3 linked regions of the Caenorhabditis elegans genome follow. The protein of the gene in region 1 interacts with the protein of each later gene in a pairwise test. Each region holds a gene or a part of one and is shown on either strand. Other genes may lie near its edges.

Evidence for each region.
Region 2: the proteins of metl-9 (region 1) and flwr-1 interact in a two-hybrid assay, tested with the Caenorhabditis elegans proteins (one large-scale study listed by BioGRID).
Region 3: the proteins of metl-9 (region 1) and mctp-1 interact in a two-hybrid assay, tested with the Caenorhabditis elegans proteins (one large-scale study listed by BioGRID).

What each region holds. Positions count from the first base shown.
Region 1 is NC_003284.9:5,176,963-5,181,026, reverse strand, and holds metl-9 (DREV methyltransferase), read left to right. Parts: upstream 1-1,876; 5' UTR 1,877-1,912; coding exon 1,913-1,972; intron 1,973-2,028; coding exon 2,029-2,298; intron 2,299-2,344; coding exon 2,345-2,431; intron 2,432-2,710; coding exon 2,711-2,820; intron 2,821-2,868; coding exon 2,869-3,142; intron 3,143-3,192; coding exon 3,193-3,327; 3' UTR 3,328-3,508; downstream 3,509-4,064. Other genes in the region: sru-48 (Serpentine Receptor, class T), read right to left, coding at 1-192, 368-577, 623-853; Zinc finger C2HC domain-containing protein zchc-1A, read right to left, coding at 3,596-3,734, 4,017-4,064.
Region 2 is NC_003284.9:14,968,344-14,971,888, reverse strand, and holds flwr-1 (Calcium channel flower), read left to right. Parts: upstream 1-1,617; 5' UTR 1,618-1,636; coding exon 1,637-1,707; intron 1,708-1,769; coding exon 1,770-1,889; intron 1,890-1,943; coding exon 1,944-2,069; intron 2,070-2,426; coding exon 2,427-2,610; 3' UTR 2,611-2,989; downstream 2,990-3,545. Other genes in the region: tbc-1 (TBC1 domain family member 23), read right to left, coding at 1-28, 74-197, 459-616, 682-891, 948-1,023, 1,074-1,129.
Region 3 is NC_003279.8:6,634,374-6,639,214, reverse strand, and holds the start of mctp-1 (C2 domain-containing protein), read left to right. Parts: upstream 1-1,785; coding exon 1,786-2,005; intron 2,006-4,699; exon of another isoform or gene 4,700-4,701; coding exon of another isoform or gene 4,702-4,801; intron 4,802-4,841.

The DNA of each region.
Region 1 (4,064 bases):
AGTCAACGGGATGAAGAATATGTCGTGTCGTATTTCATCATAGGTTTCGGTGTAGGAGATGAAGACAGACCCGAAGCCCAAAGGAGATCCCCATTGTCTACAATAGCCTTTTGCTGGATACATAAAGTACGTAATTCCAAATGGTGAGAAGAAAGCCAACGGAATGAATGTGTAAAAAACGTAAGACGACCACTGAAAATAAGGCGTTATTAATAATGTTGACGGTATTTTCACTATTAGATTTGCGCATGTATCCCTCTACTTCAAAGGCTCATATCATGGTTGCTTTTGAGCGAAAGGGAGTGCAAGCATGGGTGCGCGGCAATTCTACAAAACGAGCCAGTGTGGCTAATTAGATAATTGTTACCTCTGCATGTCTGGTTGGAGTTACATAGACAATCATTCGAATGATAGAAAACAATAGTGAGGAAAACATTGACCAATAGGTTCCCCACATTTGTGACAGGTAAATAATTTTTAAGTAGTGATTAGGCTCCATGGCAGCACAGCTAGCTGTAACAAATCCGGTAGAAGGCACGCGGAATGCCAAATTATCAGTTATGAAGAAAATATAATGCTGAAAAAAAAAACAGATAACAAAGAAAAAATATAACCAGCTTACCGACAACTGCATAATAACCATAGATTTAAATACGTGCGGATGGATAGCTTTGGTAGCCATGGAAGGTTGGGAACAATAAATTATTGCCATTCTGATAAAACAGATAAGTCCGAGAAATACGCATGCTGACAGGCCTAGAACACACCAAGACACTGTATTCATTTTGAATTCGTAGTTCAGGTATCTACTGTCATTGTGAACAGACATAACCAATTCGGGAAACGTGGGCATTCTTCCCAAAAGTTGATTGAGCCGGAGTGAATCAGAAAGGAGAAAAGAAGAAAACTCAAAGTCAATAACAATGGTAATCTTTAACAAAAGTGTAGAGGTGTGACTTTATCGTTCAATTCTCAGGAGATTCAACCCATAAGATCTCAGATATTCTATATTCTATGCATAACTGATGAACACGTATAAGGAGTTGGGAATAATAATGATTTTAGTTTTGAAAATAACATCTCTTAAACACGAATCAGAGAAGCGGGAAAAATATCTAAATTATTGGCTTCAGAGTCATAATTACAAATGAGAAGAAAAATGAGAAAACCGGCTCTTTGACGTAAATGATTGAAGCTTACGGGAATGACTATTTGGGATACATTTCAAGTTCTGCATGGACTTGTGCACACTTGTAGTTTTGCAGTGAAAAATTATGGCTTTACATCTGACAAATACGTGGCGAAGAAGTGGAAAGGTATTACAAATGGTTTTTTTTTGGAAAGATTTCAAAAAGTTAAAGTGTGGGTTTCAAAACTGATAGTGGAACAACTAGACAATTTGGAGGGAAATATAATATATTGTTTTTTTCTGATTTTTTAAAAATGTTTCCAAGTAGCTTTCTCCCGATTTTGGCACAACGATGTTGTGGTGGAAAATCTCAAACTTGTCATCGATAACATTGATACATCTTTTTTCTGTCCTTCAACGGCTCTTTTTCACATATTGATGGGTCCCATTCGGTGTTTATTTCAAATATATTAATTGGCACGGTATGTTTTGCATTTGGACAGTGCAATGTGGCTATTAAAAACAGGCTTTAAACTAGTTAAATTCTACTTTTTTCTTCATTTCGATACGACGAAAACAATTTTCTCGCTCATCAACTCAGACCTGTAAGTTAATTTCTCAACACACTGTTCCCGCTGCGGCAAACCCGCCATCTTTTTCCTTATTGTGAATCGAGCGCGTTTGCACACACCGGGCCAACAGTGCAAAGCGTTCCCCCATTCAAACCGTCTTCGCCACACACCACCTCTCTTCCTCTTATTGTTATCGATTTTCACTGCCAAAATGTCATTTCAACTGGAGCGGACGTACGGCTTGAGAGCCCAGCATTGGTATCAGCCAGAGGTTTGTTCTTTTTAATTCAGATAATTTTTTGAAAATTTGAAAATTAATAATTTCAGACAAGTCTCTCAGATGTTGCACAAAACTTGTTCGCCGCATCGTTGCCAGATGGGGAAACGCAGCAGTTTCTTGACAACTCCAATAAAATTGCCAGCAATTTCTTTTGGCAGACGGTTCGCAACCTTGGGGTCATGATTTTGTCGACAATCTATTCGAAAACTGATATCAATGGAATGACCGGATTCGGAAACATGTTCCTTTTCAGTGAAAATCAGTTCGCCAAGTTTCTCGCAATCGAGAAAGAATCTTGGAATTCTACCGACAAAAAGGTATTTATGGGAAATTGTTTCACCAACCCGCAATTATATATTTCAGGTGCTCGATCTTGGAGCTGGCAACGGAGACATTACAGAGCACATGCGCCCATTCTTTGAGCATGTTTATGCTACAGAGTTGTCATCGGTAAGAACTTGAAATTAAAAAAAAAGGCTTTGAATACTGTAAAACATTTTATGATGACATAATGCTTTGAAAACGTTTTCTGCGTTTCTTTTCTGCGTTTTTGGCTTAATGTCAAGCAGTTATCCCAGTTTGAATTACCTAGGACAACGAATGTATCCAAATATTTGAAAAACGCCAAGCCGGCTGTTTTGAAATTCCCACTATGAAATTTAAATTTTTTTGCAAAAACGGAAACGTTACTCCTCCTGCAAGATTACTACAAACAAAGTTTTTTTGCAGAAGATGAGAAACCGGCTCAGCTGGAAGGGATACAATGTTCTCAGTGCACTCGAGTGGGCTGAAACTGATGTTAAATTTGATTTGGTCACCGCTTTCAACCTCCTCGATCGGTAAGTGAACAGAAACTCAGATTATTCAATGAAAGCTGCAAATTTCAGCCATTACTCGCCAGGAAAGCTGTTGAACGACTTGTGGAACGTCGCTCGCCGCTCAAACTGTAATGTCATCGTGTCGCTTGTGCTTCCAGTCAGCCATTACGTGGAATTCAATCCAAATGGACGAAGCACCCGACCTGACAACTACCTGAACGTTGCTGGTCGTACCTACGCCGACCATGTTCATCATATGATCGTCAATGTTTTCAAACCGGCAAATTTTGAGGTGCTCAGATGGACAAGATTGCCGTATCTTTGCGAAGGAGATATGAACAATGTGGGTGGAAGTTTGATTTGAAAATTTTTTCAAACATCAAAATATTTCAGTCTGCTTACTACCTTCCTGACGCGATCTTTCTTCTGAAACCCATCGAGCCAGAATCGCCTTCTTCCACAATCACACAGGAAACAACTTCCGTCTCCCAAGAATCTACATCTCATGCTTCACATACCGATCTTTAGACTTTCAACATAATTTATTCACAAAATACTCAGTCACCAGTCATTTATTACGGTTCTTTCAACATACCGTTGCTTCCAAATCGTGAATCCATTTCTCCAAAGTATTTTTGCAAGTTCGTGCTCACCCATTATATCGGTACCCATGATTTTATTTTTAAGTTTTAAATGAATTTTTTGAGACAAACAGCTTTACAGGAAAAGTGCATTTTTATATGTTAAAGTATTCAAAAAAGTTTAAAAAAAAACAGAAGTATACAGAATTTGAAAATCAGAAAATACGAGAGCGAGAATTATTACGACTGTTGTTTTTGGCTTGAGAGAGACGGGAGTCGCGGGAATCGTCACGCGGACAAGCTCTGGAAGATGTTCTCGAACCACTACGACTCGCTGTTGTTGTAGTCGACGCTCTGTAAACTCTATTAATTTTTCAAAAGGAAATATGATCATATTACCACCTTGAACCATTGAAAAAATATACAAGCAGAGAGATAAAAATTAGGCAATTAAACAATGGGATGGGATAATGAGGGGAACTGAACCAAATATGAAAACCAAATTGTGAAGAAAAATGAATAAATCAAGTCAGTGGTTGATGCTCATTTTACTCATACGTTGAGCCAAGGAGATTCTGAAATGGGTAAACGAAATGCAGACGACACAAAATATAATTGGCGTGAAGAAAAACTCACGGTGTTTTTAGGCGTTGTTGTGGAGTAGAAGACTGTTGTAGTGGTGCA
Region 2 (3,545 bases), 9.8 Mb from region 1:
CAAGATGGAACACAAGGAATGGATCACCCTGAAAATTTTTTTTTGTTTCAGAAACTTTATGGACAGTTCCTACCTGCTCAATATATAACTTCCAAAGTTCATGGCACGATTCTGTGGACATACTGCTGGAGAATAAAGTTGCGAACCAGTTTTTCGTGTACATTGAAGGCGAGCAGTGAAGTGATTCCAAATGGTTACTAAAAATATTTTCTTATATTTATAAAATCTAAAACCTGAGCCGTTTGAATTTGCTTTCACTAAATAATTTGCACAACCGTTTCCATATAATACATGTTTCAAGCATGAAACCCTCAGGGGGGCTCCGCGCAAAAAGTTTCTGCTCAGCAACCTGTCATTTTTAAGCATATATTTTATCACTAAAAAGAAAAACCTAGGGATTTGCTAATTTTTTTTTTTTGAAGTTCTCGCTATGTAGCTTGATTTTACGATCATCCAACCTAATCTGAGGATCATGGTACTGTAATAGCAATCGGAATAAATCAAAAATCTGAGCATCTGGTCGGGTGTCTTTAGGAATATATTTCGTGGTGAATGCAAAGAAAACATTGAACTCGTGGGCGGCAGGAACATTGAGAAGAAGGATCTTTTCGAGGATCTGGAAATATAATTTTAACTTCTATAAAATGATTGCTTCTTGCAATTTGAAAAAAAGAAACTCACCGTCAACCATCCGATATCCTTGATATAATCCATCCCCCTCTTTTTGCAATAAAGTGTCAAAAATGACTCCAACTCGGGAACACTTCTCTTGTTCTTCAAACCGTTGGCAAGTTTCCGGCAATCATTTCGCAATGCGCACTGATTATTCAAATTGTACAGCTGATCCCAGTCATCCAATGGATTTGGTTTCATCGAGACTCCGAGTAGGCGCTGAAAATGTTCAAATTATCAAAAATCAGGGAAAAAAATAAAAAATAAAAACTCACCATCCAATCTGATTTATCATTTCCTTCAGTGTCCAAATCACCGAGCTCACTGCTCAGCACATTAACATCAGTTTCCCTGTAAGAATTTCCATAAAATATGCTCAACCTGTAACGAAAATAACTTACCAATTATCATCAAGCGAACTGAAACTTGTATTATTGGTTGGTCCCGTTTCTCCCATTGTTTGACTCTGTAAAAATCAATATTAAACCAAAAGTTTTTGTAATTCATTACTGAAAACCATAAATTCATGTGAAAATTAAAAAATAAAACTCGAAGTATTCAATAAGGAACAATTAAAACAGCCAAAGTCACTGGGGAAAACAATTAATCACATGAAAGATGCAACGAGAGTCCGTTATTCCGGCCCGCGTGCTGTTTAACGGTTCATTGCTGCGTTGGTTTTCTGCGCGTCTCCCGCTCTCCGTGTCATTTCGGCCGCATGCAAGAGCGGGTGAGCCCGCACTTTGCCACCTCCTCTCTGATTTCATTTATCTTTTCTTGCTCCCGCTTCTGTTTCACTTCCTTTTCAGTTATCATATGATTAGTCCAAGAAGGGAAACTTATTATTGATTAAAAATCCAAAGCTTATCGCGTGAAAATAGCAATTCTCAACGGTTTTCTCAAAGTTACTATTGAAAAATCAATAAGCACATTTTCACGTTGCAGGTAATTGTTCTCTGTCGACATGGGGGCTGCCGCGTCTGGAGTTAGCACGCAAATGCAAGCGGAACACGATCCGAATGCCGCGTTTCCATGGTGAGTCAGCCTATTATTTCCCAAGAAAAAAAAACGAGAAATGATTTCATAATTCGTTGCAGGTGGGTTCGCTTCCTGGCAAAAGGAGTCGCCATCCTCGGAGGTTTCCTCTCCCTATTCTTCGGAGTCCTCGGCCTGATCACTCTCTCGGCGACATGCATGGTGGCCATTCTTCTTCAAATGTAAGGAAAAAACAACTGAATCAACTGTAAACCTTTTAACTGTAATTTTTTCAGGACAGCTGGAGCATTAGTCATTGCGCTGGAGGCCCCATTCTGCTGCCAATTCGTCGACTTCATCGAGAAGATTGCCCGTTTCAGCGAATCGCGTGCTCTCTGGCACAAGGCTGCTATCTACGGAGCGTGAGTGACAGCTCTTTTTTTTTGATAGATAGAGAGAACAGTTCTACTAGGTCATTCAAATTATGATTTTTTCAAAAAACTATTTGATAAGATTAGTATTAAGATAGTATTAATTGAAAAATTATTCGCATGATTTCTCTTCTCAAATTTCATAGACCTAGACCATAATGAAAGAATATGTAGTAAAATATTCCGAAGAACCTTAAATTTTGATGTCTTGTGACAAGAGGCACATTTTTCAAGTGCACATCGCGTCGGCTTAGAAGACAAATTAGCATACTCTCTTGGCGTGTAGCGGGGCACAAACAACAATGTTTAATACTTTCTTGACTTCCTTGTAACAATACCAATTTTCAGCATGGGACTCATTCCAATCTTCCTGTGCATCGAGCTCAACACTATCCTTGGTAGTGGAACCATCTTCGCCTCGGGTGTTATTTACGGATTCATGGCGTTGGGCAAAAAGGCGGACCGCAGTAATATGATGGCCGCTGGAGATCCGGCGTGGAGCCCACAGGTCAACCAATCCAACATTCCATAAATTCCTAAAAGTCATTTCTTCCCGCCCTCAACCCATCCAGTAATTTTCACTTTGTCTGTCCATTTTCACTATATATTTATGTTTTCAAGTATTTATTTCTCATACATCTTTCCTCATCTGCTTTACTCTCCCCCCTCCTCTCACTTAAGCGTTTTATCTTCCTATGCAATTTGACCACGACCAACTAGTTTGGATCTGATTTTTTTTCTTCTTTTTTATTTATTGATAGTTTCCTTTTTTCTCACTATCTCTTCCCAATTATCTGAACAAAACGTTTTGTTTATACATTTGTATGCAGAGAATCTCTCGTTTCATTTCCGAGTTGTGCACCGAATACGATCTGTTGTGAAGTTACAATAAATTGGTTCGTAGTTTTCATTACACAATAATAAGTTGTATGCACAAAAACAAACTTTCCGTGGGCCTATATCACACAACTAGAAACTACATGGTATGATGCCTTATGACTGATAGCGAGCACAAAGCAAAACAAGAGCACATGCAAAAACTGGAGCTCTTGTTTTTATTCGGGACACTACAGAGGTGTTCGATTTTACAGTGGAAGAGTAATGGTTCTTGGTATTTCGAACGTAAATTTGAACGTATATGTTGCTCAAAGTGTGCTAAAATTAACGAATTTCGTAATCAAACTTCTCACAAATCTTTCAAAACGTTTTCATGGGGGAAAACTCATAATTGGTACTCCCACTGTAATAACATTTGATAACAAATATTGTGTCAGTTTTACTCTACCCAGAAGTTGTTTTTGAGGGACACCTCGTATTTGAAAAAATTCATGTATTAAACGGAAGAAACATATTACATAGTTTAGAGCAATAGGCTGTCCTCCCTTTTGTAAAGACTGGACTAAAATTAAAAGGCCTACAACAACTAAAAATGATCTGTTTTAACATTCAAAAGTTTTATTTACGTTA
Region 3 (4,841 bases), on another chromosome or scaffold:
TCATTTGTTACTTTTTTCCAGCTTTAGTTTATTTTTTTAAATCTCTATTTTTAAATGAAAAAAATCAAGATCTTCCAAATATTAAGAAAAATGTTCCCATTGAATTTCAGTTTCTCAAGTAACGATTACTTTGTTTCCCATGCCCTTGCTCTTTTCATTCCTTTTTTCCCATTTCCTTCTCATTTTTCCTCCGTTTTTTTGCCTTTCTTGTTCTTTTTCTTATTTCTATAGCTAATTACACTCTTCCCTCTTTTTTTTCATGCTTATTTCTTGACATCGTCTCCAGAGACTTTGTTCTTTCCTTCTCATTTTCGGTTTTTTGATGGATGAGAAGCCTACAAACTTTCGAATTTTCTTCCTATCATTTTTTGTCCTTCTGTCTGTCAATTTTCCTTGCACCCCTGCTTTTCCTCACTTCCCCCTTTTCCCCATTTTTTGACGAAAATGGCAAAACGCCAAATTTTTTTTAGGAGATATGGCGAACGAAACGCATTGGGAATGCATTTTCCACCTGCACTTTGTCTCGATTCTTTTATAAATTTTTGAATGCTTTTCAAGTTTTTTATTGCATTTTTTAATCATTTTTAATGAAGTTTTGAGGTTAGGTAATTAAAAAGTTCCAAAAAAAATTATGATGAGCTGAAAATGTTAAACATAAATTTTTAAAACAACTATAGTTCAAAATATCAGCTTAAGTAAAAATAGTAGAACAAATCCCGAAAGTGCATAATATTTTACAAACACGTGAATAAAGGGGATTTGTAGTATAATGTAATTCCTTGGAGAAAAAAAACGAAAAAAAGGGAAAGAGCGTCCGAAAAACAGAAAATCGACATTTATAGAGTGATGTACGGAGTTCTTCCGCCCTGAATGTTTGCATCGTCTATTTTTATTTATGCTCCATTTTTTTTTCAGACAGAAATTTGAGAAAAAAACAAAGTTTTGAATAAAACCTTTTTAACAAATTGCAATCCATAAACTATGTTCACAAAAACGACCGGAAAAGGAGTAGATACATACAAAAAACATATATATTTTTGTGCAGTTTTTTGGGAAGTTTTTGTTGTTTTTGTGTCTCCCTTCCAAATATTCTTCCTTGTATGCTTGTCCAAACGTGAAACTGCTCTTTTTATTCTCCTTTTTGAGCATCTAGAAAATTAATGAAATTTTCTTAAGGGTGGATGTGCCAAGAATATATTTTTCTTTTTGCCCTTACTTAGCCTCATCAATCATCACCTCTATTTCTTATTTTTGCTTTTGTCAATACTGAAGAAATATTGTTAATAATAATTCTTGAATTCTGAGTTGACTCACACTTATTAAGTACATTTCAATTGAAGAAATATAATTTTCAGAGTTGAATTTCAACTTAGGTGAGGATTGTCTGCATATTTTTATTGTTTTTTGTCCAAGGTTTTGTAAAATTTCGATAATAATTTTTTAAAACTATGTGCAGTCTCTATTAGTTTTTGCGCAAGAGATAGACCGTAGTTTTATTGCGAAAAATATTTGAAAATACATTTCGATGATTTCAAAAAATCGATGAGAATTAAAATTGATCCACAAATCTAAAATTCTTGAATCTATAATAAGATGGAAAAAGAGCATCCACTTATGGCAATCCAATTGTTTTTTTTGTTTCGTGCTTTTTCACTTTTCATCTCTCTCTCTTGTCATATTCTTTTCTATTTCTTCTCTTCCATCTCTCTTCCATTTTTACTCAATTCGGACCCACAAACAAGGAGACGCTTCTCCTTCAAGTGAGAAGACGAACACACAACAAACATGCCGTGTTTGCAGTTGATTCGTCGTCGAAAAAAGAAAAAGAAGAAGGAGCAACTTGTGCAGATAGTTGAAAAAGGAGAAAATGAAGACGAGAGAATAATGATGAAAGGAGGAAAGAATGAGGAAGATCACGAGAATGAAGAAGATGATGACAATGTGGAAAGTTCCTTAATTGGGTGTTCCCCATTAACAAGAAGGCGAAGAAAATCTGCAGCAGTTGGTAAGTCTAGGATTTTGGATTCAGGTTTTGCGAGACTTTAAAATTTCAAACTACAAGTAGGGCACATTAGTGATGTTCGGCTGAATTTGATATATTTTCTGAACATTTTTAAAGTGTGTGAAACTGCTAGGAGATTTTGATCCTTTCAGGGTTTCAAAAATTGCATAATTTTTCAAGAAAAACAATTATCGTATCGAATTCAATTTTCCAGGAAAACTGGTAATTACAGTTTAAAAAAACGATATTTGAAAGAGAAGCTTTTCAACAACATGTGTTACTAATTGAATAGAAATGTATATATTTTTAAAAGTAAAGCATATAGTATGAAAACACACAAACTATTGTCTTCCAACTTTTCTTTAAAAAGCATTCAAGTTTTGTTTTTACAAGTTTATTACACTCTACTGTATGCGGTTATACCTTTGTGTTCAACCATTGTAAACAGTCATACATAAAAAACAAAAATTCAAATATCTTCCCAGGAGTGTGATATTAGCGTTCAGTAGGCAATAAAAAGCAATAAACATCTCTCTCAATTACTTCAAGAAATCTTTTTCCGGTCGCCAATAACCGTGTTGTCTGCTGATTCGGCAGTAGGGGCGGCGATAGGTTGCAACAGGCCGACCTTACCCAACTGTGAGCTACATTTGTAGCGACCTCAATGAATACAATGTCGGCCTCGAAAGAAAATTTGAGTCAGGAGGTCATGCTAATATAATTTTCATTTTCAAAATTATGATTGGATTGCTAATGAAGCTGTTGTGAAATAGGCAGGTCGATCTGTTGCGACCCATCACCATCCCTATTTGGCAACTCGCCGCACACCTCTGTAATACAACGTGTTCACTTTTAATCTCAAATTGACTTTTATCTTCAAGATTGACCATTTTCTTCATAAAATGGCCAACCAAGTTCTCAAAAAATATTTTTTTTTAATTCGAAGTATAAAAACTTCTAAATAATTAGTTTTGAACCAAGTTTAAGAAGGAGTGATTCTAGTGGGGATTTTGTGCACTTATAATCTTTCAATTAGTTTTCCAAATGTGGAATATTTTATGACAAAAATTACTCAAAGATATATTCAAGTAATTCCATGGAAAGCCTGGAAATTCCAAAAATTCTTGTGTATCTGACAGTTGAATAGAACATCAAAACGGGCCTTGTTTTGGAAATAAAGAATGTTAATTCTGGAAATTTCCATAAAATGACACCTTCTTTGCGATGGCTTTCTCTTTTTTCAGCTAAGAATTAACCCATTTTTCGATAATTTTATTAATTGACCTTAAAAACTATAATAATTAAAGTAATGCAATTTCCAAAATGTTGTACACTCCAATTTGTTAATTTTGGCATCATAAGAGTAGTTTTTAACAACTTCCCAATTGATATCGATGCTACTTTACTTTTAAAATCCATTTCAGAGTTTTTTATAGATCAGGTTTACAATAAATCACATTTAATATTTTCAAGAATTTTCTGGTAATGATTTTGAGTAAGTTCTTGCACAGTTTTTTTGCAAATAAAAAACCTAAAACAAGATATATGAATAAATAATAAAATACAATTATGCTATTAATCTGAAAAATAAGATGGTTATTTTTGAATCATCAACATAATGATAGTCTAAAAGAACTCAAAAACCACTGAAGCACATCTTCAGCATTTCCTTAAAATTACCCCCCACATCCTCTGACCATCTGCGTCTGAAATCTAAAAGCAAATTAGTATGCTCTACTCCATAACAAGAAGATGTTACACATTCTTCGTCACATCCCTCCATTTTTATCAACTTTATGTGACGGAATGTCTTGAAAATGTTATTTTTAATGTTTTGGTGAATGGTCAGAGCATCAATTCTAGATGGAAAGATGCAGAGAAAACAATCACATCCTTCCCCTTCCATTTTCCCCAAACATTTTTTCAACAACCCCATATTTTGACTCTCCATTTTCTATTTTTCGTGTTTGTCTCTGTCACTTTAGTTACAGTTTTTAAGAAACCGTTTGATATTGAATATTTTAGGATTTCTTGAGTTTAGTTTCCAATTATTCATAAAATTTTCCCACGTTTTCCGATTGAAAGAAAAAATTAAACAACTGAAAGCTTTTGTCTTTATATTAGAGTTTTGACAATAAGAAAATTGATGAAAACCTGTAGAAATGCTCAAAACTACTAAAAATCCACAGTTTTTGGAAATTTGGCAATTTACCAAAACTTTGATTGAAAATTATAAGAAATCTAAACTTGAGATTTGTTTTTCATGATATTCGGTCATTTTGGACTATTTTAAATGGATTTCTATATGTGCTCTAGACTGAGCCACCACTGACCTTTAAGTCAATTTTTAAAAGAGAATATTAGTTAAAAGTCTAAAAAATGTAGAGAGAAATGGATAAAAATTAGGAGCTTATTTTCAATTCTTACTCCCTCCCGTAATTTTAAATGTAAATTTGAATAATCCCAATTTAAGAATGCCTTTATTTAGAACGTTCAAAACTTTTTTTCCTTCCAAAAATGTTTAGAATGGCACACTGGGGAAAATGCAAATAGAAAATTACTACATACCGTACGAAAGTGTACTAGAGTCAACCCATATTATATATATATATAGTGGATATGGAACCTTTTCTGAGTAATTGAAACTCTGCTTTCACTAATTTTAACTGAATATCAGTTGATTATTTCTATTTCAGAAAATGCGAATTTCCACACTCGCTCGCATATTTGTGGTATTTCGTCGAAGGAAACGGCGAAAAATTCGACGAGAGCCCACTTTTCTCTCGTATCGAATCAGAAGTTTGTACAAAAATCTGTCAATTTCAGTTTAAAAAAAATT